Lonchura striata: one gene and its partners. The main gene of each other region encodes a partner of the protein of the gene in region 3 in a complex. Links are inferred from orthologs where the notes say so. Each region holds a gene or a part of one and is shown on either strand. Other genes may lie near its edges.

The links.
Region 1: the proteins of CAST (region 3) and calpain-2 catalytic subunit are in contact, whole or in part, in a crystal structure (PDB 3BOW), measured with the Rattus norvegicus proteins. The link is inferred for Lonchura striata from reciprocal best matches to the Homo sapiens genes CAST and CAPN2. Residues at the interface, in NP_445747.2 of Rattus norvegicus: Glu571, Leu572, Asp573, Ala575, Leu576, Asp577, Glu578, Leu579, Ser580, Ser582, Leu583, Gly584, Gln585, Arg586, Gln587, Pro588, Leu596, Asp597, Asp598, Lys599, Val600, Lys601, Glu602, Lys603, Ile604, Lys605, Ala606, Glu607, His608, Ser609; in NP_058812.1 of Rattus norvegicus: Glu62, Leu63, Ser68, Lys69, Gln99, Gly100, Ala101, Leu102, Gly103, Trp106, Lys161, Asp162, Leu165, Leu166, His169, Ser196, Gly197, Gly198, Thr200, Ser241, Asp243, Ile244, Thr245, Asp249, Ser250, Glu251, Ala252, Val253, Val259, Lys260.
Region 2: the proteins of CAST (region 3) and CAPNS1 are in contact, whole or in part, in a crystal structure (PDB 3BOW), measured with the Rattus norvegicus proteins. The link is inferred for Lonchura striata from reciprocal best matches to the Homo sapiens genes CAST and CAPNS1. Residues at the interface, in NP_445747.2 of Rattus norvegicus: Pro652, Ile653, Asp654, Ala655, Leu656, Ser657, Asp659, Leu660, Asp661; in NP_058814.1 of Rattus norvegicus: Phe103, Leu106, Gln109, Leu110, Ile125, Lys128, Val129, Arg132, His133, Leu136, Phe166, Trp170, Lys174, Gln177, Lys181.

Annotation. Positions count from the first base shown.
Region 1 is NC_134607.1:21,350,410-21,358,305, forward strand, and holds the start of calpain-2 catalytic subunit, read left to right. Parts: upstream 1-4,889; coding exon 4,890-5,126; intron 5,127-5,895; coding exon 5,896-5,965; intron 5,966-7,896. UniProt on the Homo sapiens protein: Calcium-regulated non-lysosomal thiol-protease which catalyzes limited proteolysis of substrates involved in cytoskeletal remodeling and signal transduction. Proteolytically cleaves MYOC at 'Arg-226'.
Region 2 is NW_027461156.1:31,520-38,819, forward strand, and holds the start of CAPNS1 (calpain small subunit 1), read left to right. Parts: upstream 1-4,293; 5' UTR 4,294-4,306; coding exon 4,307-4,341; intron 4,342-5,177; coding exon 5,178-5,211; intron 5,212-6,117; coding exon 6,118-6,207; intron 6,208-7,199; coding exon 7,200-7,257; intron 7,258-7,300. UniProt on the Homo sapiens protein: Regulatory subunit of the calcium-regulated non-lysosomal thiol-protease which catalyzes limited proteolysis of substrates involved in cytoskeletal remodeling and signal transduction. Essential for embryonic development.
Region 3 is NC_134642.1:81,128,134-81,135,530, reverse strand, and holds the start of CAST (calpastatin), read right to left. Parts: upstream 3,015-7,397; 5' UTR 2,942-3,014; coding exon 2,900-2,941; intron 1-2,899.

The DNA.
Region 1 (7,896 bases), on a different chromosome or scaffold from region 3:
GCATCACCAGAGTGTAACAGGGAAAGACAGATGAAAGGTAGGATCACCCCCACTCTGGAGACAGCCTGAGAGAACAGGGTTTTTTTTAGTCTGGAGAAGAACAGGCTCCAGGAAGACCTTAGAGCGCCTTCCAGGTCCTAAAGGCGGCAACCAGAAAGCTGGAGATGGAATTTTTACAGGGTTTGTAGTGATAAGACAAACAGGAATGTATCTTCAGATTGACAGAGGGGAGGTTCAGATTAAACATTAAGTAGGAATTCTTCACTGTAAGGATGGTGACGCTCTGGAACCGGTTTCCCAGAGAAGCTGTGGGTGTCTCATCCCTGAAGTGTTCAAGGCCAGGTTGGATGAGCCTTTGGGCACTCTATTCTAGTGAAAGGTGCCCCTGCCCATGATAGGGGAGCTGGAACAAGATGATATTTAGGGTCTCTTCCAACACAAACCATTCTATAATACTATCAGATTTTAATAATGAATTTCAGTTTTTATGTTTGGAAAGAGGCTGAGGACAACCCCTTTTTCTGGGGGAGGTTTGGACCTGGTGACCACCTAGTGTGCCCACCACAACTATTTGATTCCAGTGATTTGTCACAGCACTTCAAATCCATTTTCTAAGCTTGATTAGCAGCAGCATGTTTTATTTTGTGTAGAATGTGATACACAAGCACCATCTAGAGGTTATAAAGGAGATGATGAAGACTATAGCTGACTACAGCAATAGCTGACAGCTGTATTATAGGAGGAAAAAAAATTTAAGGTTCCCCATGACTCAAATACTGCTGCTGAAGTGGCATTAACCCTTAGGGTTAATAGTTATAACAATTATTCTCACTTTTGTTGCCTCTGGGATTTGCATATTTTTGCCTGGCTCTTCTTGCTTTCCTTTCCCTCTCCCCATTTCGTGATGATAGCGAGAGGATGAAGGGGAATAAAGAAGAACCAATTAAACCAGAAAAATGCATCACCTGAATTTCAAAGAAGAGACTGAAAATTCCATGCAGTCAGGACTGTTCTTTAAATGGGGAAATCTTTAGAAGAAAATAACTGCTGATTACCCAGCAGCTTCAGGTATGTTTCTGATATAGAGCATTAGAGAGAAATAAGAGGACTCTCTTGTACTGCATCACTTGGCTGATGAGGATTAAACCTGCTTCACTGTACTTACTGTAGGCCCTGCAGCATAAAAACAAATCATTTTCATTCAGAGAGCTTGTTTTCTCATATTCTATATGTATGGGTTCCTATCCACCCTATTACTGTGACAATGGAGTGACTATCAATAGGAACACCATTGGGAGCTATGAAAGTTCCTAAATGTTTGTCTCTAAGATTATTGTTTTAAAGGTTGCAATTTTTAATCTGAGTGTTTGGGGAGGGAAGGGTTGCCACAAGAAGCCTGGCAGTTTCCCTATTGGGAAACACATCTAAAATTAGCTCTGATACTGCTTGGTTGTTTTATAAAAGCCATGAAATTGTTGGTGCCTGAGGAGGAGAAAGATGACATCCTGCAGAAGTAATGCCTGAGTAATTCATGAGTTGGGCTGATCCAGAATGATGGTTCAGCACTGGGAAGGAAGCTGGGAAGGATAGCTGGATTTTGCAGGATGACCCAGGTCTTTCTGACACCTCACACTGAACTGGCCAGGGCTGGAGCCAGCTTGTAATGTTGGGGAAAGCTCAGTACCTCTCCAGATCCCAGCTTCAGACAGGAAAGCAATTCCCTTCCTCTTGAAATACTACTACTGCTACTGCAAGCTTCTTCCCCTGGGAAACCACCCTCATCCTAATGAGGAGGGGGCAGTTCCTGGGAAGGAGAACAGGAGCCCAGAAGGTGCACGGGTCCTTTCCTCCCTTCCTGAGCTGTTAGTCATTTGTTCCCCAGTATCCATGTACAGAGAAAGGACAGAGGAGCAAGAGAGAGGAGGGATGATGCAAAGCAAAGCAGCTCTGGGTTACTCACAATTGCTGAGTGTGGGCACAGTGAAAGAGAAGCCTATCCTGCCTGAAACTCCATGCTGTGAATGGCAGCTGGATGCTCCTTATCAGGAGCTAGAATGAGCTGCTGCAGCAAAAGCTGAAATCACTCACTTGCAAAATGTGAGTTGGTGACTTCTTTGAAGAGCTACAGGTGTACAGGGAGATTAAGAAGAAATCTGATTTCTTTTTCTTTCTGATATTGCCTGGTTTGAGGGAGACAAAAGTGGGTAACTATTGATGGAACTGCTATTTTTACTTAAGAGTATTACACTGCTCTCACAGTCAAGTGGAAATCACCTCTTTCTCTAAAAAAAAAAAAAAAAAAAAAAATGGGTGCATTGTGTGAGTATGTAGAAAATGAAGAAATTGGCTGGTGTAGTGCTCAAAAGAACTTCCTTCCCTCAAACTGTGGACTCCCATCCACATCTGCTGCTGTGCTGGAAGTAGAAGCAGGTGAATTACCTGGCTGCAGAGGACTTGGTGGGCAGGGGCTATTCAGATGGCTGCTGGGACAGCCAACTTCCCAGATAACAAGAGAAATTCTGTATTACACCAGTATATCCTTATCCTGTCATTAAACCACATGGGACAGCATGGTCCTTATATGTTTGGGACCATCTAACAAGCCTGGCTGGCAAATATACATCTTTCCATCATTGCCCAGGTCCCTCTCCCCCTGCTTAATTGAATCATTGCTGGTTCAGTCTCTTTCTGGCTTTGTTCCCTTCTGTTCATGTCATTTACTGTTTGTCTCAGTCTTAACCCTCATTTCACCACAGATACTCTAAGAAAACTCTGGCAGCTCTGACTGAGCAGAGCAGCCAGGTAAGAGTCTTGCACACACTTGGTTTTGATTGCTGTCCAGCAGAGGTTCTCAGCCGCCAGCAGATTCCACTGTGGTAGAGATAGCTAAGAAAAGCAATTATATGTCAAATTTTCAACCCAGCTCAAACTTCTGCATCTGCTGGAAAATAGCTAGAGCAGAAGTGTTCACAAACCAAAACTGTGAGTGGAAACCATTGCTTTGAACTGACTCTGGTTTCCTGTAACCCTGACTCTCGTAAAACCAGAGAAATCTGACCTGTGGCAGCTGTACAGACTCAAGGCACTGCATGGAGCCAAAGAAACACTTTTTGAGTAGCTCTATGGCTCCCAGATCCCTCACATTAGGATGCAACACAGCCGATTAAACTCCAGGTGGTGAGGTGCTGTTGTCTCCTGGTCCAGGAGATGGCCTTGCCTGTGAGATAACTCAGCAGTGCTTAACAAATCTAAACAGCTGAGCAAAACCATCCTCCAATGCCACTCTGTGTCCTCCTCGAGCTTCAGCACAGCCATGCTGGAGACCTATGCTAGGCTAAAAGCACACCCTCAATTGAGTGCATGTAACATTACTGGTTCTGCTTCCAGCTTTCCATGTGTGATTGATTTCCCATATACTGCTAGAAATTCCAATATTCTCTTTATAAAGAGAGCCTTTCTGACTCATAGGGGACAGGAGGCATCTTCAAAGAACAGTGAAGCTGGACTGTGCCTTCCAGGTTTGGACAACTGGGCTGTCCTCTTGCGTGGCCATGATCTACACAGACATGTGCTGCTCAGACCATTAGTGACTAACTTCAAATAGATTTTGGGGGCTTCCTCTGCTACACTGGGAACGGAATGGGCAATGCTTAGCTCTTTTTCCTGTTTAATGACAATGGCTTCTCATGAACTGTGCAAGTAGGACCTGTTCTGAGCTTAGGAAGAGGAATAATAAATGATGAAAGTGCAAAACTAGCAAGCAAACGGACAGTGATACACAATGGTTTGGAGAATCATGCACCAGCAATGAAGGAAAACTCCCCACCACACCTCAGCAAATGGTACTGCCAGTAATTTTAGGTTGTTTAAGCATCTTCAAGAAATAATGTTCATTTTAGTCAGATAGGATGGCTCCAAAGCACTGTTTCATGCATCCAGGACTTGGAAAACTCTGCAGAAAGAGGTGCCACTGTGGGCGGTGGGTGCAGCATGAAGGGCTCCCGGCCTCTGTGTGCTGCCCAGGGAACACTGCCTGGCACCAGCACATCCTGAGTCAGACTTAAAATATGAAACAAATGGTTTGAATTCTCCCTCAGAGAGTTGCTGTTCTATGCGGGTGCCAGCAGCAGCATTTCAGCCATTCTTGGCAGCCAACTCACTGCAAAAACAGAGACTCTCTCTCCCCCCACACCACAGATAGGTGTTTCGGGAAGCTTGGGGGGAACCTCACTGTTTGTGGTTTGGGCTGTGCCGGGAGTGCAGGTGGGTCCACACCAGCAGTGGCAAAACATGTGCTGTGGTGACCACCAGCAAATCAGGCTCTAAGTGATCTCTGTTACTTGCGATGTTCAAAGTTGTAACAAGGTGACAACACAGGTACAGACATACCATAGTGGGATTCGAGACACATATTTTCCCTTCCTTTTTGTTTGTCTGTTTGTTGTTGTTTTTTTTTTGGGGGGGGGGGTGTTTTGTTTTTTTTTATTTTTTTTCCCTAAACTTAGAAAATTTATTGGGGGGGGGGTTGTTTTGTTTTTTTATTTTTTTCCCTAAACTTAGAGAATTTATATGGATAGTTCTGGCTTTTACACGGAAAATACCAGCTTTCTTGAATTGATGCGTACATGTGGCAATAGGATCACCAGCAGGTGTGAAGCTGTTGAGGCGCCCAGTGAGGCAGCGATGCTCCTGCACGGGGCAGCGAGCTGGAGGCACGGGAGGGGAAGCTGCTCGGACCGCGGCTGCCGGCACAGAGCCACTCGAGCCAAGGCGGGGGTGCGGCGGGGCTGAGCAGCGGCGTGGCACCGGGCGGAGCGGAGGGCTGACGGGCGGGGCTGGACGCGCCGTGCCGGGCCGGGCCGTTCTGTGCCGGGCCGGGCGGGGCGGCGATGGCGGGGATGGCGGAGGCGCTGGCGAAGGAGCGGGCGGCGGCGGCGGGCGCGGGGCGGCACGGCCGCGCTGTGCCCTACCTGGGGCAGCGCTTCGGGACCCTGCGCCAGGAGTGCCTGCAGGAGGGGCGGCTCTTCCAGGACCCCTCCTTCCCCGCCGGCCCCACCGCCCTCGGCTACCGGGAGCTGGGGCCCCGCTCGCACAAGACACAGGGCGTCGTCTGGCGCAGACCCACGGTAGGGCGGCGGGGGATGGGGGGGCTCCCCGGTAGCATCGTTCTGCAGTATCACCCGGCTTCCTCCTTCCCTCGCTCCGTGAATTTGGGTGGATTGGATGGTGCGGGGGCGGCGGGTCGGGGCGCGGCTGCCGAGCGCGGTGCGAGCCCTCCCGTCCTGCAGCATCGCGCCCGTCTGGTGCAGCTGCGGATGCTCGGGGCACCGGAGGATCCCCTTTGCTCTGGCGACAGCCTGGCAGCGTGACTTGCTCTGCCTGGAAAACAAGTCAGAAAAGTCATTTTCCTCTCCATCCAGAACTCTCCGTGTGGACAAACCGCTTTGGGTAGCGCTTGGGGCTGTCTTTTCTGATAACTCTTTCCTTCAGCAGAGCCGTGAGTTGACCACCGTGTGGTTTATTCCCGAAGCAGCCCTGCCAGCCATGGGAGCCATGGGATCAGGAGGACTCCAGGGTGCCTCCAGGCACTTCTGAAGGACCTTGGTGTAGTCAGTGGTGGGGAGGTAATGGCAGAGCAGCGTGTGCACATGTGTGGAAATGCAGTGCACCTCCTGGCACGTCCTGTGAAGTGAGCTGGCCGCACACGAGCTTTGGTCACCAGCTCCCGTTCTCACTGTGCTTGGTGTGTGTGGTGCCCGCACCCGCTCCTGCCCTGCTCCATCTCTGTGGTGTTCATCTCCCGTGGTCAATGGTTTGGTTAATTTGCTGCAAGTGTGGCCTTGTTCCCTGCCTCACCTGTGGCTACGTGTAATGCAAGGCCTGTTTTGTTCCCAGGAGCTGTTTCCCAACCCCCAGTTCATAGCCGGCGGAGCCACTCGCACGGACATCTGCCAAGGGGCCCTAGGTAAGGTGGGGGCAGAAACCTGAGTTTTCCATGCAGGTGCTGCCCCAGGGCAACATGGTTTACGCATGGCTGTAACTCACTCTAATACCTCCTTTTGCATCCTACCACCTCCATTCATTTCAAATCAGACCTTTCTCATGTTTCCTTGGCATTTGCAGGTGGGGACCATGAGTGTGGTTACTGAGCACAGTCTTTCTGCATGCACCAAGCAGGGGTGGGACACACTGGTTTCCTGATGGTTTTTCTGATCATATCCTGTTCCTTTCACATTCAAATCCATATGCCTGAGAGTAGCCTGACTCATTTCTGCCTTTAACAGTCTGCTTGGAAGAGCAGTTGTGTGTGTAGCATGACTTCTCTTTCCCCAGTGGGAGAGAATTCTGCTGGGCAGGAGGAATCTCCTGAAATCTGGGGAGATGCTGTAGATAGAAAAGTTGTATGGGGGTCACCGGCTCTTGAGGAAGACAAAACTTGGGTGTTTCAGGAGGAATGGGCCAGCCTGTGATTTGTTACGTGAGGAGGAGACACCTGCATCCAAACAGCAGCTGGGAGATCCAGTGCTGTTTACACCCCAGTGTTGTGATACCATGGTGACATCCACTCCAGAAAAAGGTGGCTAAGGGTGAACCAGGCTTCTCTGGCTTTGGAACCTCCCCTCAGCTGTAATGAGTCACTACATCCCATGTGCTGCCATTTGGAGCCAAATACCATCACTGACTTTGCAGATCTGATACTGCAAAACCAACTCCAAATACTCTCCTTCAAAAGCTTCTCCTAAGGAAAAAACAACAGACCAAAAACAACAGACCAAAACCAAAAAACTTCACAAGGCCAGAATAAAGGATAATCCAAATCCCAAGGGGAAGAATTTGGTGCCTGGAAAACCTTTTCTGCACTGATGATCAGCTTTGCCTTACATGGATCACAGTTTCTTATAGTCCAGGTGAAACACAATTAAACAAATTTATGCACCTGGCCAAAGATTACTGAGCTGAAAGAAACCCTGCTCATTAGCTGAACTGTTTGGTTACACATTTCCTGCCAAGAAGCTGCCCTGCAGATGTGATGAGTCCATGTGCTCTGGATGCCCCATCTCTCCCTGCAGTACTCCCAGATGATCTGAAGGGCTCAGCAACAGCAGTGAAACTCCCCATGGGCACAGGTCTGTTGCTTCTTGATCAAGCCTTTGAGGGATTAGACTGCAAAAGCTTCCTATAGAAAAGAAGCAGTATAATAAAAAGCACAGGTTTCCAAAAGCACCTGATATCTTCCAATGAAATCTTCTCTATAACATCCTAAAATGTGATGGGACATGGACACTAAAAGTAAATACAAAGATCAAGTAAATGCAAGCTTAGGCAAATTTATCAATACAAATGCTAGTGTCAGATAAGGCAGTTGAAAAAAAAAAAAGAATTTGTACAGTGCATTTGCCAGCCCCATTGTGTGAAAGAACAGAGATTCCATCCAGGCTCTTAGGAACTCAGTGGCTATACAGAGAAAAGATCAAAAGCATCTAATTTTTAATCAACAGTTGTCACACAAGACCAAAATCCTGCCCAGATTCATGAGAAGACAGCCAGGAGAGTCACTGCAGTACTTAGAGACAGTGAAAGAGGAAATATAAACAAGAACACTGACAACCTCTGATTCAGATATACTCAGGAGGTACAAAAATACCAGCTGTGAGTCACTTCATATCCTCTGGTGATACCATACAACCCCATGGGAACATCTGACTGGTCCAAAGACCACTAGGGCAGCAAATGCTTTCATCAATTTAAAAACAGTGTCTGGTATTAGCAACAGCAATTTCACAACTTGAAAACGAAGCTTCAAATCTTTCATTCCTATGCTCTTGCTGCCACAGCATCTGCAGAGAAAAGCTAGAAAACCAGAAAGCATCTAAGTGATTCCAGAAACCAGCATCT
Region 2 (7,300 bases), on a different chromosome or scaffold from region 3:
GGGCCCAAACCTGCCAATAACAGCGATGGGGGAGGGGCCAGACCCCCCAAAACCCCCCAGACCCCCCAAACCCCCAAATTTGGGCCCAAACCTGCCAATAACAGCGATGGGGGAGGGGCCAGACCCCCCAAAACCCCAAATTCGGGGGTCTTCACTCTGGAATCTATCAATTAAATAATTAATTAAGGGGGTTGAGGCCACGCCCCTTCCCGGGCCATTTTGGGGGTCCCAAATCCCAATTTTTGGGCTGTTCACTCCGGAATTTATCGATTATTTTTTTGGGGGGGGGATCCATGCCACGCCCACCACTCCCCAAATTTTTTTTGGTGAATCCACCCCCCCCCCCCAGTAAAATAATTAGGGCTGTTCTCTCCGGAATTAATGAATGAATGAATTAATTAACGTCGGGAATTGATGCCACGCCCCTTTCCCGGATAATATTTTGGGGATATCGATCAAAAAATATCAAAATTTTGATTTTTTTTTTTTTTTAGAATTTATTTATTTATTTTCTCCCCCCCTCCCGACCCCTCCCCAAAACCAGGGCCCGAGGTGGGGGAGGGGTCCCAGAGGGTCCCTCCTGGCCGCCCCTCCCCCACCCCCGCAGGAGCAATAACGCCCCTCCCCCACCCCCGCTCGTGTCAGTGGCTTTAATGTCCCCAAAAATGTCCCCAAAAATGTCCCCTCCCCCCAAAAAATGTCCCCTCCCCTCCCCCGCTGCCGCATGGGCCCCCCCGGAGCCGCTTCTGCCACCAATAAAATCCTTTGTACCGGAAAATTGGGGGAAATTCGGGGGGAAATGGGAAAATTGGGAGAAAATGGAAAAATTGGGGGAAATAATGGGAAAAAATTGGGAGAAAATGGCAAAATTTGGGGGGGGGGGAATGGAAAATAAATGGGGAAATGGGGAAATTTTGGGGGGAAATGGGGAAATTTTGGGGGGAATGGAAAAAAATGGGGAAATGGGGAAATTTTGGAAGGAATGGAAAAAATGGGGAAATGGGGAAATTTTGGGGGGAATGGAAAAAATGGGGAAATTGGGAAATTTTGGGGGGAAATGGGGAAATTTTGGGGGAAAATGGACACAAATGGGGAAATTTTGGGGGGAATGGAAAAAATGGGGAAATTGGGAAATTTTAGGGGGAAAATGGACAAAAATGGGGAAATTTTTTTGCGGAAATGGACACAAATGGGGAAATGGGGAAATTTTAAGGAGAAATGGAAAAAAACTGGGGAAATAGGGATATTTTGGGGAGAAAATGGACAAAAATGGGGAAATTTTGGGGGGGAAATGGACACAAATGGGGAAATGGGGAAATTTTGGGGAGAAATGGAAAAAAATGGGGAAATAGGGAAATTTTGGGGGGAATGGAAAAAATGGGGAAATTGGGAAATTTTGGGGGGAAATGGGGAAATTTTGGTGGAAATTGGACACAAATGGGGAAATTTTGGGGGGAATGGAAAAAATGGGGAAATGGGGAAATTTTGGGGGGAAAATGGACAAAAATGGGGAAATTTTGGGGGGAAATGGACACAAATGGGGAACTGGGGAAAGTTTGGGGGGAAATGGAAAAAAATGGGGAAATAGGGAAATTTTGGGGGGAATGGAAAAAATGGGGAAATTGGGAAATTTTGGGGGGAAATTTTGGGAAATTTTGGGGGGAAATTTTGGGAAATTTTGGGGGAAAATGGAAACAAATGGGGAAATTTTGGGGGAAATGGAAAAAATGGGGAAATTTTGGGGGGAAAATGGACAAAAATGGGGAAATTTTGGGGGGGAAATGGACACAAATGGGGAAATGGGGAAAGTTTGGGGAGAAATGGAAAAAAATGGGGAAATAGGGAAATTTTGGGGGGAATGGAAAAAAATGGGGAAATTGGGAAATCTTGGGGGGAAATGGGGAAATTTTGGGGGAAAATGGAAAAATTGGGGAAATTTTGGGGGAAAACGGAAAAATGGGGGGAAATTGGGAAAATAATGGGGGAAATTGTGGGGGGGAATTTGGAAAATAATGGGAGGAATAGGGAAAAATGGGGGAAATTGGGGAAATGGAGAAAAAAATTGGGAAAATGTGGGGGAAATGTGGAAAAATTGTGGGAAAAATGGGGAAAATGTGAGGAAAATTGGGGAAATTGGGGGGGAAAGGGTGAAAATGGGGGGAAATGGGGGAATTGGGGGGGAAATGGGTAAATAATGGGGGAAATGGGAAAAATGGGGGAATTTGTGGGGAAGTGCAGAAAATGGGAAGAAATGGGGATAATAATGGGGGAAATGGGGAAAAAATGGGAAAATAATGAGGGAAATTGGGGGAAAATTGGGGAAATGGAGGGAAATGGGGAAATAAATTGGGAAATTTGGGAGGGAAATGGGGGAAATGTGTGAAAATGGGGGGAAACAGGAGAAATGGGAGGAAAGGGGGAAAAATTAGGAAAAGAAAGGAGGAAAGTGGGGGAAAAATGGGGGAAAATGGGGGAAATGGAGAAAAAAATTGGGAATTGTGGGGGGGAAATGGGGGAAATAGGAGGGAAAATGGGGAAATGGGGGAAAAAGGGATTTTTTGGGGGAAAAATTTGGGATGGGGCGACACGGAGGGACCCTAAAACTGCTGAAGGACATGGGGGGAGGGGGAGACTTCAGAGTGGGGGAGGGGACCCCCCAAATTTGGGGGGAATTTTGGGGGGGGGGGGGGGGAACCCCAAAAAGTGGATGGGGGAGGACAAAATTGGGGGAGACCCCAAAAGTGAGGTGGGGGTGGGGGAGGGAACCCCCCAAAAAATTCCTCCCCCAAAAAATTCCTCCCCCAAAAAATTCCTCCCCCAAAAAATTCCTCCCCAAAAAAATTCCTCCCCCAAAAAATTCCCCCCCCAGCGCCGCCATCTTGTCCCGGCGCGCGGCGGTGACGTCACGCCGTGACTCATTTGGTATTCACCGTTAATCTGCATAACCCCGCCCTGTGGGGCGGGCCCGACTGTCAATCACGCGTCTGGCCACGCCCACTCTGATGGGCGCTAAGGGGCGTTGCTGTCAATCAAGGAGTTAGCCACGCCCCCCATGTTAACCCCGCCTATTAGAGGAGATATGAACGTCTAGGCCACGCCCCCGCCCCTGGCCACGCCCAGGGCGCGCCCCCATTGGTCCCTCCCACCGAGGCCACGCCCCCGGGCGGCTCCCCGGCCACGCCCCCCCCGCGTGGCCCCGCCCCTTTCCCCGTTCCGGTTCCGCGCTCGCTCCGGACCGGCGCCGCTCCCGCAGGTACCGAACCCCCCCCACCCCCCCGGGACCCCCCCGGGACCCCTCGGGACCCCCCGGGACCCTCCCGGTGCTCTCCTCCCCCCCCCCCCAAACCGTGACTCAGCGCGGCCCCGCCCAGTCCCGGAAAGCCGCGCCCGGGAGCGGCACCGGAGCGGGACCGGAGCCCGGGGAGGGGTCCCGGGGGGTCCCGGGAGGGTCTGGGGGGTCCCCGGAACCCCCCCGGTACCCCGGGTGTCGCCTAACGGTGCTGTCTGCTTCTCTTCCAGCCGCTCCCAGTGCTCCCAGTGCCGCCCCGGTGCCCCCCCAGTAACTCCCGGTGCCCCCCAGTAACTCCCGGTGCCCCCCAGTAACTCCCGGTGCCCCCCAGTACCCCCCAGTACCTCCCAGTGCCCCCCAGTACCTCCCAGTAGCTCCCAGTGCCCTCCCAGTACCTCCCAGTAGCTCCCAGTGCCCTCCCAGTACCTCCCAGTAGCTCCCAGTGCCCTCCCAGTAGCTCCCAGTGCCTCCCAGTGCCTCCCAGTACCTCCCAGTGCCCTCCCAGTAGCTCCCAGTGCCCCCCAGCGCTCTCCCAGTGCCCCCCAGCGCTCTCCCAGTACCCCCCAGTACCTCCCAGTACCCCCCAGTAGCTCCCAGTGCCCTCCCAGTACCTCCCAGTAGCTCCCAGTGCCCCCCAGTACCTCCCAGTAGCTCCCAGTGCCCCCCAGTACCTCCCAGTGCCTCCCAGTAACTCCCAGTGCCCTCCCAGTACCCCCCAGTAGCTCCCAGTACCCCCCAGTAGCTCCCAGTGCCCTCCCAGTACCTCCCAGTAGCTCCCAGTGCCCCCCAGTACCTCCCAGTGCCTCCCAGTAACTCCCAGTGCCCTCCCAGTAGCTCCCAGTGCCCCCCAGTACCTCCCAGTGCCTCCCAGTAGCTCCCAGTCCGGCATGTTCCTGGTGAAGGGGCTGCTGGGGGGCGGGGGCGGTGGGGGGGGGTCCGGGGGGGCCTCCCGGGGGGCATCGGCTCCGTCCTGGGGGGGCTCCTGAGCGGGGGGGCGGCGGCGGCGCCGGGGGGGCCATGGGGGTCCTGGGGGGCGTCATCAGCGCCATCAGGTGAGGGGACAGCGGGGGACACGGGGGCTGGGGACACTGGGGGGGCTGGGGACATTGGGGACACTGGGAGGATTGGGGACACTGGGGACATTGGGGGGGCTGGGGACATTGGGGGGACATTGGGGACACTGGGGGTATTGGGGACACTGGGGGGACATTGGGGACATTGGGGTGGGGGTCCTGGGGGGCGTCATCAGCGCCATCAGGTGAGGGGACAGCGGGGGACACGGGGGTTGGGGACATTGGGGGGGCTGGGGACATTGGGGGGATTGGGGACACTGGGGGGACATTGGGGGGACATTGGGTTGGGGGTCCTGGGGGGCGTCATCAGTGCCATCAGGTGAGGGGACAGCGGGGGACACGGGGGCTGGGGACATTGGGGACACTGGGAGGATTGGGGACACTGGGGACATTGGGGGCGTTGGGGACACTGGGGGGACATTGGGGGGACATTGGGTTGGGGGTCCTGGGGGGCGTCATCAGTGCCATCAGGTGAGGGGACAGCGGGGGACACGGGGGCTGGGGACATTGGGGGGACATTGGGGGGACATTGGGGGGACATTGGGGGGATTGAGGACACTGGGGGGGCATTGGGGACATTTGAGGACATTGGGGGGATTGGGGACACTGGGGGGACATTGGGGACATGGGGGGCATTGGGGACATTTGAGGACATTGGGGACACTGGGGGGGTTGGAGGGATTGGGGACATTGGGGGGGACACTGACGGCTACTGGGGGTTGGGGACATTGGGGGGACATTTTGGGGTGGCAGGTGACACTTTTGGGGGGGCAGGTGACATTTTGGGGTGACCCCCTCTGCCCACCCCCCCACAGCGAAGCCGCCGCCCACTACAACCCCGAGCCCCCCGTAAGTGACCCCCGCCCCCTCCCTCCCTGGGGACCCTCGGGGTGTCCCCTGACTCCCCCACCCCGGATTTGGGGTCCCCTGACCCCCCACCCCGGATTTGGGGTCCCCTGACCCCCCCACCCCGGATTTGGGGTCCCCTGTCCCACTCACCCCGGATTTGGGGTCCCCTGACCCCCCCAACCCCGGATTTGGGGTCCCCTGACCCCCCCGACCCCGGATTTGGGGTCCCCTGTCCCCCCCCACCCCGGATTTGGGGTCCCCTGTCTCCCTTCCGTGTCCCCCTCCCAGATTTGGGGTCCTCTATCCCCCCCCCGGGTTTGGGGTCCAGGCTTTGGGGTTCCCTGACCCCGTTTTTGGGGTTCCCTGACCCCGTTTTTGGGGTTCCCTGACCCCAGATTTGGGGTGCCCTGCCCCCCGTTTTCGGGGTGCCCTGACGCCGTTTTTGGGGTGCCCTGACCCCCCGTTTCCGGGGTGTCCTGACCCCGTTTTTGGGGTGCCCTGACCCCGTTTCCGGGGTGCCCTGACCCCATTTTTGGGGTGCCCTGACCCCCATTTTTGGGGTGCCCTGACCCCGTTTCCGGGGTGCCCTGACCCCATTTTTGGGGTGCCCTGACCCCCATTTTTGGGGTGCCCTGACCCCGTTTCCGGGGTGCCCTGACCCCCATTTTTGGGGTTCCCTGACCCCGTTTCCGGGGTGCCCTGACCCCATTTTTGGGGTTCCCTGACCCCGTTTTCGGGTTGCCCTGACCCCTTTTTCGGGGTGCCCTGAGCCCGTTTTCGGGGTGCCCTGACCCCGTTTTTGGGGTTCCCTGACCCCGTTTTCGGGGTGCCCTGACCCCCCGTTTTCGGGGTGCCCTGACCCCCCGTTTTCGGGGTGCCCTGACCCCGTTTTCGGGGTGCCCGCAGCCCCCCCGTGCCCACATCTCCACGGTCGATGCCAACGAGAGCGAGGAGGTTCGGCAGTTCCGGCGCCTCTTCACGCAGCTGGCGGGGGAGGTGAGGGACCCCCGGGACCCCCGGGACCCCCGACCCCCGACCTCCAGCACCCCCAACCCCCGGGAGCCCCGACCCCGGGACCCCCGGGACCCCCAACCCTTGGGACCCCGGGACCCCCAGAATCCCCAGGACCCCCGACCCCAGAGACCCCCGGGAGCCCCGACCCCTGGAACCCCGGGACCGCCAACCCCCTGGACCCCCAACCCTTGGGACCCCGGGACCCCCGACCCCGGGACCCCTGGGACCCCCGACCCTGGGACCCCCGACCCTGGGACCCCCGACCCTGGGACGCCTGACCCTGGGACCCCCGGGACCCCCGACCCTGGGACCCACAGGACCCCCGGGACCCCCGACCTCCAGCACCCCCAACCCCTGGGACCCCCGACCCCTGGGACCCCTGACCCCTGGGACCCCCGACCCCGAGACCCCTGGGACCCCCAACCCCTGACCTCCAACACCCCCGACCCCAGGACCCCCAAACCCCGGGACCCCCGACCCCTGGGACCCCTGGGACACCCGACCCCCGACCTCCAGCACCCCCAACCCCCGGGACCCCCGGGACCCCCAGATCCGTGGGGGTGCACTGGGGTGTACTGGGGTACACTGGGATCCACCTGATCCCTTGAAACCTCTTGGTTGGGGTCAGAATCTGGGGGAACCCCCAAGGTTTGGGGGTCCCCCAAGATTCGGGGTCAGGATTTGGGGGTACCCCCAGGATTCGGGGTCAGGATTTGGGGGTCCCCAGACTTTGCGGAGACGGGTCAGGATTTGGGGTCAGGATTTTGGGGTTTTTGGAGGTCAGGATTTGGGAGTCTTCAGACTTTAAGGGGATCAGGGTCTGGGGGTTCCCCCAGGATTCGGGGTCAGGATTTTGGGGGTTCCCCCAAGAATTCGAGGGTTCCCCCAGGCTTTCGGGGGCTCCCCCAGGATTTCGGGGGTTCCCCCAAGATTTTGGGGCTCCGCAGCCCCCCCTGACCCCCCGTTCCCCCCAGGACATGGAGGTGAGCCCCACCGAGCTGATGAACATCCTCAACAGGGTCGTCACCCGCCGTGAGTGCCCCCCAAAAACCCCCGGGGGCTTGGGGGGGGATTT
Region 3 (7,397 bases):
GCTTTGCTATCCCTAAACTCAAGTCAGACACTAAAAGCATGACATCTTCCCTCCAGAAGGCAATGTCAAACAGCATCTATAATAAAGACTCTTTGACTCAGTGGACAAATATGTTTATTCCAACTCAGGGAAACAAAGCACATATGGTCAGACTAGAGTAGTTTTTTTGGGTTTTTTTTTTTTTTGTTTTGTTTTGTTTTTTTTTTTTTTCCCAGTAAGTTGAGTAATGCACTGTGTACACACAGAGCCCTGACACTCACTCCCTGGCCCCAGATAATAAAACAGCCTGTGAAAGTACTGCCTTGCAGGAAAGTCTGCTGTCCTGAGGAGGTAACCTGAGAAAGCACAGCTTCACAATGTACCTGGGGAAACCATGCTGGTTCCCAGAACAGCTGGTGAATAAGGTATGATGAGGGATCCCATTTCAATAACGCCCTTCAACAACTCTTTTCTTATCTGAATTTTCAAGCTTTGAACACTCCACTAAAAATAGGGAATATACAAAAAGAAATAAAACAAAAAAAAAAATGAAAACCCAAACAAACAACGAAAAAAAACCCAAAAAACTCAAACCAAAACAAAAACCAACCAAAGAAAATAAACAAAAAAAAACAAACAACAACAAAAATCACCAACAACACAAAAAAAGAAAAAAAAAAGGCAGTAAATCAATCTGCTTGGCCAGAAGGCCAAGCTCAGGTTTTGTGGGACAGTGTACATCCACTGTTCCTTCATATTCACAACTCATGATGACAAGCTGACTTTCTTTGGGCAATCTTTCCTTTTCCTGCTCAAATTTCAGTGCCAGAGACACAGATTCAAAACCAAGGCACTGGGTCAGAGCAGCTCCAGCTTTCTTACATCAACAGTGGGCATACAGCTGAAGTGATAATTTTAGTTTAATTCATGATCTAACAATTCCTTGTAGCTTTTAAGCCAGCTCGAAATATTTTCCAACCTTACTAACTAAAAAAAAACCAAAAAAACCCCAAAACCCACACAATCCTACCCATAATCACATATCCACAAAAATACATAAGTGTCATGAGGAAGAAAGTTTACACTGAGATCTTCATCCTGTTTTGAAGTGCACAAAAATGTCACCACACTATTAAAACACACCTTTAAACTTCTGACTCAAACAGCACTCATAAACTAGAGAGTAACTGGTGAAAAAGCACAAGAAAATTGCTAACAACTGAGCAGACACCTATGTGCACAAAAATCCAATCATCACTAAAGGCTTTGCTTGCAAGAAATTCCTTCTAAACCTCAGGAGATTCAGAAGGCATTAACAAGCCTTTGGTTTAAGGCCACTGCGCAGCATCTTGGAGGACTTGCAGTAACTGGGTGAGAAGTGAAGTCTTGCAAGATTCTCAGCTTAAGTCAATCAACGCAGTATTACAGATATTTAAGGAGATGGGAATCTGACTTTTGCTCTCAGCTGGAACTGGGAGAAGACAGAGATCTTTGACACTGCTTGGAAAACTATCAGATGCAAAGAGTTGCAAAGACTGTAGCAGGGGAGCTACAATCAAGCCAGGTAAGGAATGGAAACGTGAAACCCAGATTCTTATTGCATTCAATCCCAGCTTTAAATACACCAGCCAGTAAAAACCTTAATGTCCTTTGTGTCTGTCCCTCTCACCCACCTCTCCTGCCTCCCTATGCACGGGAGAGGACTCCAGTCCCACAAGTGCCAACAATCACAACCAGGAGTTTCCAAAAGAGCAGCTGTGGGAGCAGTTTTCTTACCTCATCATACACAGCCATATCTTGATCTCCTTTCTTCACTTGGATGCAATGACACAGAGCTAACGAGGCCTTTTACATCCATTCCATAGCTTAGTGCAGTAATTCTCAAACTTTCCCCTTTGTGATTTTGTGTCACCTCCACCACACTTGACTTAATACAATAACTGGCACCCGAAAACACTGATCCAAGCTACAAGAAGCAACTTAAAAGTACAGTTACAACTTCAAGAGGTTTCATCTACCTTATCACACATTTAGGAAATGCATTAAAGTGATATTTTCTCTGAAACCAACATTTCACAACACACGCTTTCCGTAAAACTTTAACAGAATGCAGGCTTTTTTTTCCTTTTCACCATTCCATACAGAGGCCAACCACTTCCTCCTAAGCGTAAGCAACCATAAAGGTTTCTTAAAGGCTTTTTAAAGCCTTTCAAAGCAGTCGCAGGACCCAAGTCCATCCGAACCACACGGAGAGCTGTGGTTAGCTCGGGGAGGACAAGGCAAAGGCCGGCTCCTGCCGTGCGCAGCACGCTCCCGGGAAAAGGCGCAGCACCGTTTTCCCCAAAACGGGAACATCCCCGCATAAAACCCTGTCTTACGCGTTCCGCCGCGGTTTCATCACCCCGCGAGCCTGCCTCACTCGGGCGACGGGCGAAAACTGCCAACAGCACCAAAAACTCCAGTTTCCTGCGTCGCTTTCTCGGACGGGACAGACAGCTGGCGCGCACCGCGCTTCCACCCGACCCGAAGCAGCGGGGCGTTTTGTTTGAAAAGGCAGCCGCACCACAACCCCCTTCTCCACCCCGAACGCCGGGGAGCGGCGGGAGCATCGGGAGCGGCATCCCGGGGCGGTCCCGGCTCCCCACGGGGGTGGTCCCGGGGCTCTCCCCCGCACTCACCATGGCGTACCACCAGCGGGCGAAAGCCATGGCTGCGGCTGCTGCTGCTGCCCGCGCCGCCCGGCACTGCCCGGCCCGGCCGGGGCGCGCCCAGGGCGGTGCCGGCGCCGAGCCGCTCCCCCGCGGGGCACCGGGGCCACCGCCGCCCTCCTCACGCCCCTCACCGCACCGCCGCCCTCCTCACGCCCCTCACCGCACCGCCGCCCTCCTCACGCCCCTCCGCGTCCCCGAGCCCGCCTTACCGCCGCGGGCGGCGGCTGCCTGCCCGTCCCGGGCGCCGACATGCCGATCCCGGGCCGATCCCGGCGGCTCGCAGCTCCGCGGGCGGCTGGAGAGGCCGGCGGTCCCTCCCCTTCCTGCCGGGGCCGAACCGGGACGGGGGAGCCAGGGGGGCCGCGAGTGCGGGCGGGACGGCGCTCAGCTGCAGCCGGAGTGGCTTTTTTTAAAACAGCCTTGTTTTGGGGGGCTGCTCCTCAGGGCACAGGCGTTCTTCTGCTCACGAAAGTCGTTCCCTTTGGGAAAGCGTTTGGGTGTCGACAGCCGACCCAAGGTGGCTCCAGGCTCCATGGCAGCCCATGGCAAGGATTTTGTCTTTCCCCCGAGATGGAGCCGGGCGGAGGGTGCAACACCAGGCTCCTCCGTCGGCCTCTCGCCGGCTCCTCTGCCAGCTTGCCTCCGAATTGGGCACCCTGTTCCTATGACAGCCTCCTTCCCCAGCCATTGCATCCCTGCAAGCCATTCTACCTCAGCTTCTCTCTGGCTCCACCTTGGCCGTCACCTTGGTGTGAACTCATTCCCACCACACAAACGCGGTCGGTTTGGAAATTGGCCGCACATCCCGTGGTTTGGTGCGGTGCTAGCCCTCACATCCAGGGGATCTGATGCAGGTCAGGTTATGAAATGGAAAACACAGGTGTTGCGTGCAGGAATGGGCACAGTTTGAAGAGTTTGTCTTGTGGCGTTGTGTGCAGTAAAAGAAGTCAGTGTTTGGGGTGTTGTGTGCCAGGGAGCCCCAGGCTCAGGCTGGATGGGTGGAACAGCTGTTGGATGAGATGCGCTGCTCTGAAGGGGTAACAGCAGCAGCTCCTGACCACATCCTTGTGTCAGGAGGCCCTGTCTATAAGCAGAAGGAAGTAAAAGTGTCCAAGTCTTTAGGGAGTTCTCATCAGCCGCTTCCTTGGGGAAGAGGCTGTAGGACTAATCCGCATGGTTGGAAGCCTGTAGAATCAATTAGTGCCTAAGCCCTCGGCTGTCAGACCTGAGAAAAATGGGTGAGGCCTCTCCTCAAGGTATTGGGAAATTACTTTTTTCTGCAGAGGGAGGGGGAATGTTCACAGCCATCTGCCTAAAGCCACCCCTGCATTTACTTTCTGATGTCAGCCTGTGACACTTTGCCAAGGTGCTCCAGACGGGGTGGAGGTGAGGGCCATGTTTAAAATGCACAGCTTCCACACGGGGCTGGCGTGTGCAGGTTTCCCTGGGGTCACTCTGACAGGTCTAACAGATTGTGCTGCATTCCTCCAGCTGGCTGCAGGCAGCAGACCCTCCCTGCTGGCTCCAGGGAGCCCTCAGGAAGCGTCACCCATCTCAGCGCCTGATGACAAACAACTGGATCTGACAGTAATTGGAGTGGTGGAGCTGCACAGGAACAGGGCAGTAGCAGATGAAACCTTCAGTGATGTCAGCCTGCATCATGCTGGATATTCAGGGCTCTGCTGACCCAGAAGCACATCACCCATTCCAGCTCTGCTGGTAGGTTCAGTTTATAAAGGAGGTCTAAACGCTGCTGCAGGAAGGAGGGAAGCTGCCCAGACACTTGCCCCAGTTCCTGCAGTTGTTGCAGTGTTTTGTAAACTGGTTGGGCTCCATCCAGACTTGCAAGGAAATCTTGCTTTAAGGCCAAGGGCTTGGCATTGTTGCTTCTATTAGAAGGCTCCTCTAGCTTGCTTCAAGAAACCATTGTTTATTGGCAATTTCTTCCCAAGTTTATTCTTAGCTATATGTGGTTTATATGAAAAGCATGTAGGCAGCACATATTTACCTGGAGATGGAGAAGCAGCTTCTTGTTTGTCTGACAGAAGGAGAGTCAGCTGATGGATGCCTGAGTCAGCTTTTTAAGCACTGAAGGCCTAAACACCACTCCAACAGTTTACTCATTTGGGTGAAGATTTGGATGTTTGAGTAGAACAGTCATAATTATCCAAGTCAGTCTGACACTTACTATCATTAACTAGGAAAAAATAAGTTTTCCTTGCAGCTTGCAGCAGCATACAAGTGTTTGGTATCAAAATCAGTGTTTTCTGTCACGGTTTCTACTTTTTCTTTCAGAACATCTGCAAGTGAACAAATCCACTGAGACTTGCTGAGATTTTGCATGGCATTAGCCATGGAGTTCTGCACAGGGCTGATCAGAAACAGATACAAGTAGTGATGGACAGCAGAAACATCAACTGTTTTTTCAATGTTTATTGGCTGGAAAAAGAGCAGATGACCACATCAGGAGCACACAGGTTGTTCTTTACTGCAATGATGTGTGATGTAGAACAAGTATTCAAAAAGAGGTTTTGTGCTTTTAATAGTAATGGATACATTTCCATGTAATTCAAGATATTAGGAGTCTAAAATTGGAATGGAGAATCACAGACTCATTTTCCCCACCATGTCTCATCTCCAAAGGGCACGAATTGACGTCAAATGCCTCCCAATAAAAAGGTGCACTAAATTCTGGCAGGATAGGATGAAATTTTTGCCAAGCATACATATTTTATTAATATAACTTGCATAATGATATGACTGCAAGCTTATGAGTCATTCACAAAATCTACAAAATAAAGTACAAAATCTCATGTGTAACTGGATTTTTATCTAGGGTAGTTTAAAAGATGTCTTAGTATTAAAACTAGTTAAAAATAGTTCTTTTAAATTTCTTTCATCCTCTTCCTGTGTTTTACGAAGAAACTCACTGCAAGTTTTTGTTCTCTTGTCTTCCTCTGAAACCCAAAACCATCAGGATTAACTTTATTTTTCTTTTTAATTTGATGTGTTCAGTCCCACCCTGTATAGTGACACCCACAACAACAAAGACAGAGAAGTACATTTAATTTCTTCTCCTGCCATTTTTGTTCACAGCATGTTCAGTAAATGGAAATTGGAAATTTAAATAACGAAAATTCTATTTGTTGATAAGCCTTGTTTGATGACATTCTTGTTCTAGAAAGCAATAATGCCAATCCTAACTATTGAAAATAAAGGTTTATTTCCTTATCTATGGATACATGTAGTTTTGCACGTTATAAACACCTGATACCATATAAATTTTATGTCCTCTGCTAGTTTAGTGCAGTCTGAAGATTGCCTGCTGGACTCCATTCCACTGCTAAGTGGGGATTTCCTCCCCTGTGACAGAAGACATAAACTTTGACACCAATCAAGAGAAAATTAGGGAAACCTCTAACCTTTTGTAATATTTTGATATTACAGAATATCAAACCTCTTCCTTGAGGTTTGATGTTTTGTAATTCCCTGAATAGAGCCAAACTTTAACTAAAAAACAAAACAATTTAAAAATTAATCTTGAATAATTTCTGAAGCCAGATTTGAGTGATATGTATGGCAGTATCTATCTATGCAAATTTTCTCCTTTGTTACATTGAAATGCAGCAAATCCCAAAGTTTAGTACAATGTATCACATACAACCATGAGGGGAAATAAATTAAATTTTAGCCTTCATCATCCAGGATTATGTTCCACCCACCTATGTTTGGTCCTCTCCTCTCTCCCCAGTTTCTACTGGGGAAAACAAATGTGCTGTCAGTTCTGGGACTCAGCAGAAATTCAAGGTAATTGACTTGAAAACCACACTACAAATGAAGCTTCTAGCAAACCACAGGTATTTTTCTGGGTTGGATACAGATCCAGATGAGGCTGTGACCCCGAAGTGAGTCCAAAAGGAAGAGCAGCACAATGCGTGAGGCGTTGCCCAGTGAATGTCAAACATTGCAGCTATGCAGGAGTGGCCAGCCTGCAGCTCACGTCTGTCTGCTGGCTTTATCTGAAAAGAACTTTCCCAGTGTCAGGCACATTATCTCAGGTGTAAACTGATTTTTGAAACTACAGAAAAATGTATGGACTAGGCCTCATTTATTTTTATGAGCCTGATTTGTAAATATTTATACATATGAAAATGACAATGCCATTCATCTTGGATTCTTAAACTGTAGAGTGGTAGGTAGAATTCTGTCGGTAGAAATTGCAGATTGGTGAGTTCTGTGAGAGGTGAGACAGAAAGCCTTGTGTATTAGAAATATACTTTAAACTCTTTATACACTAGGGTTTCAAAATCAATAGAAATCCATGCTCACAAAATAAAACACATCACTTTTAAGTACAGCTTACACTGTCAACATGCAGATTTTTGGAAAAAGTTTGATCTGTTCCAAATCATAAAATCCATGCAAGAGATTAAAAATACCATGTACTCTTTGGACATTTTTTCATATAGTCTCCATTTTCAGTAATTTGCTTGAGACTGATAGCGTTCTTTCCAATGCCACAATGATTGTCCTTAATTATCAAGGTGAACAATGCTCCCCTTAGGGCAGTTCCCTTCTTCATGTGAAATTAATCCTGAGATTCTTGGTATTAAGAGGCTCCCCAGAGGAAAGGTTGTGAAAAAGATTTGTGGTTTTATGAACTGCATCTGGTAAAAGAAGTTAAAAATTGTCTGTTTTGGTTTGCAG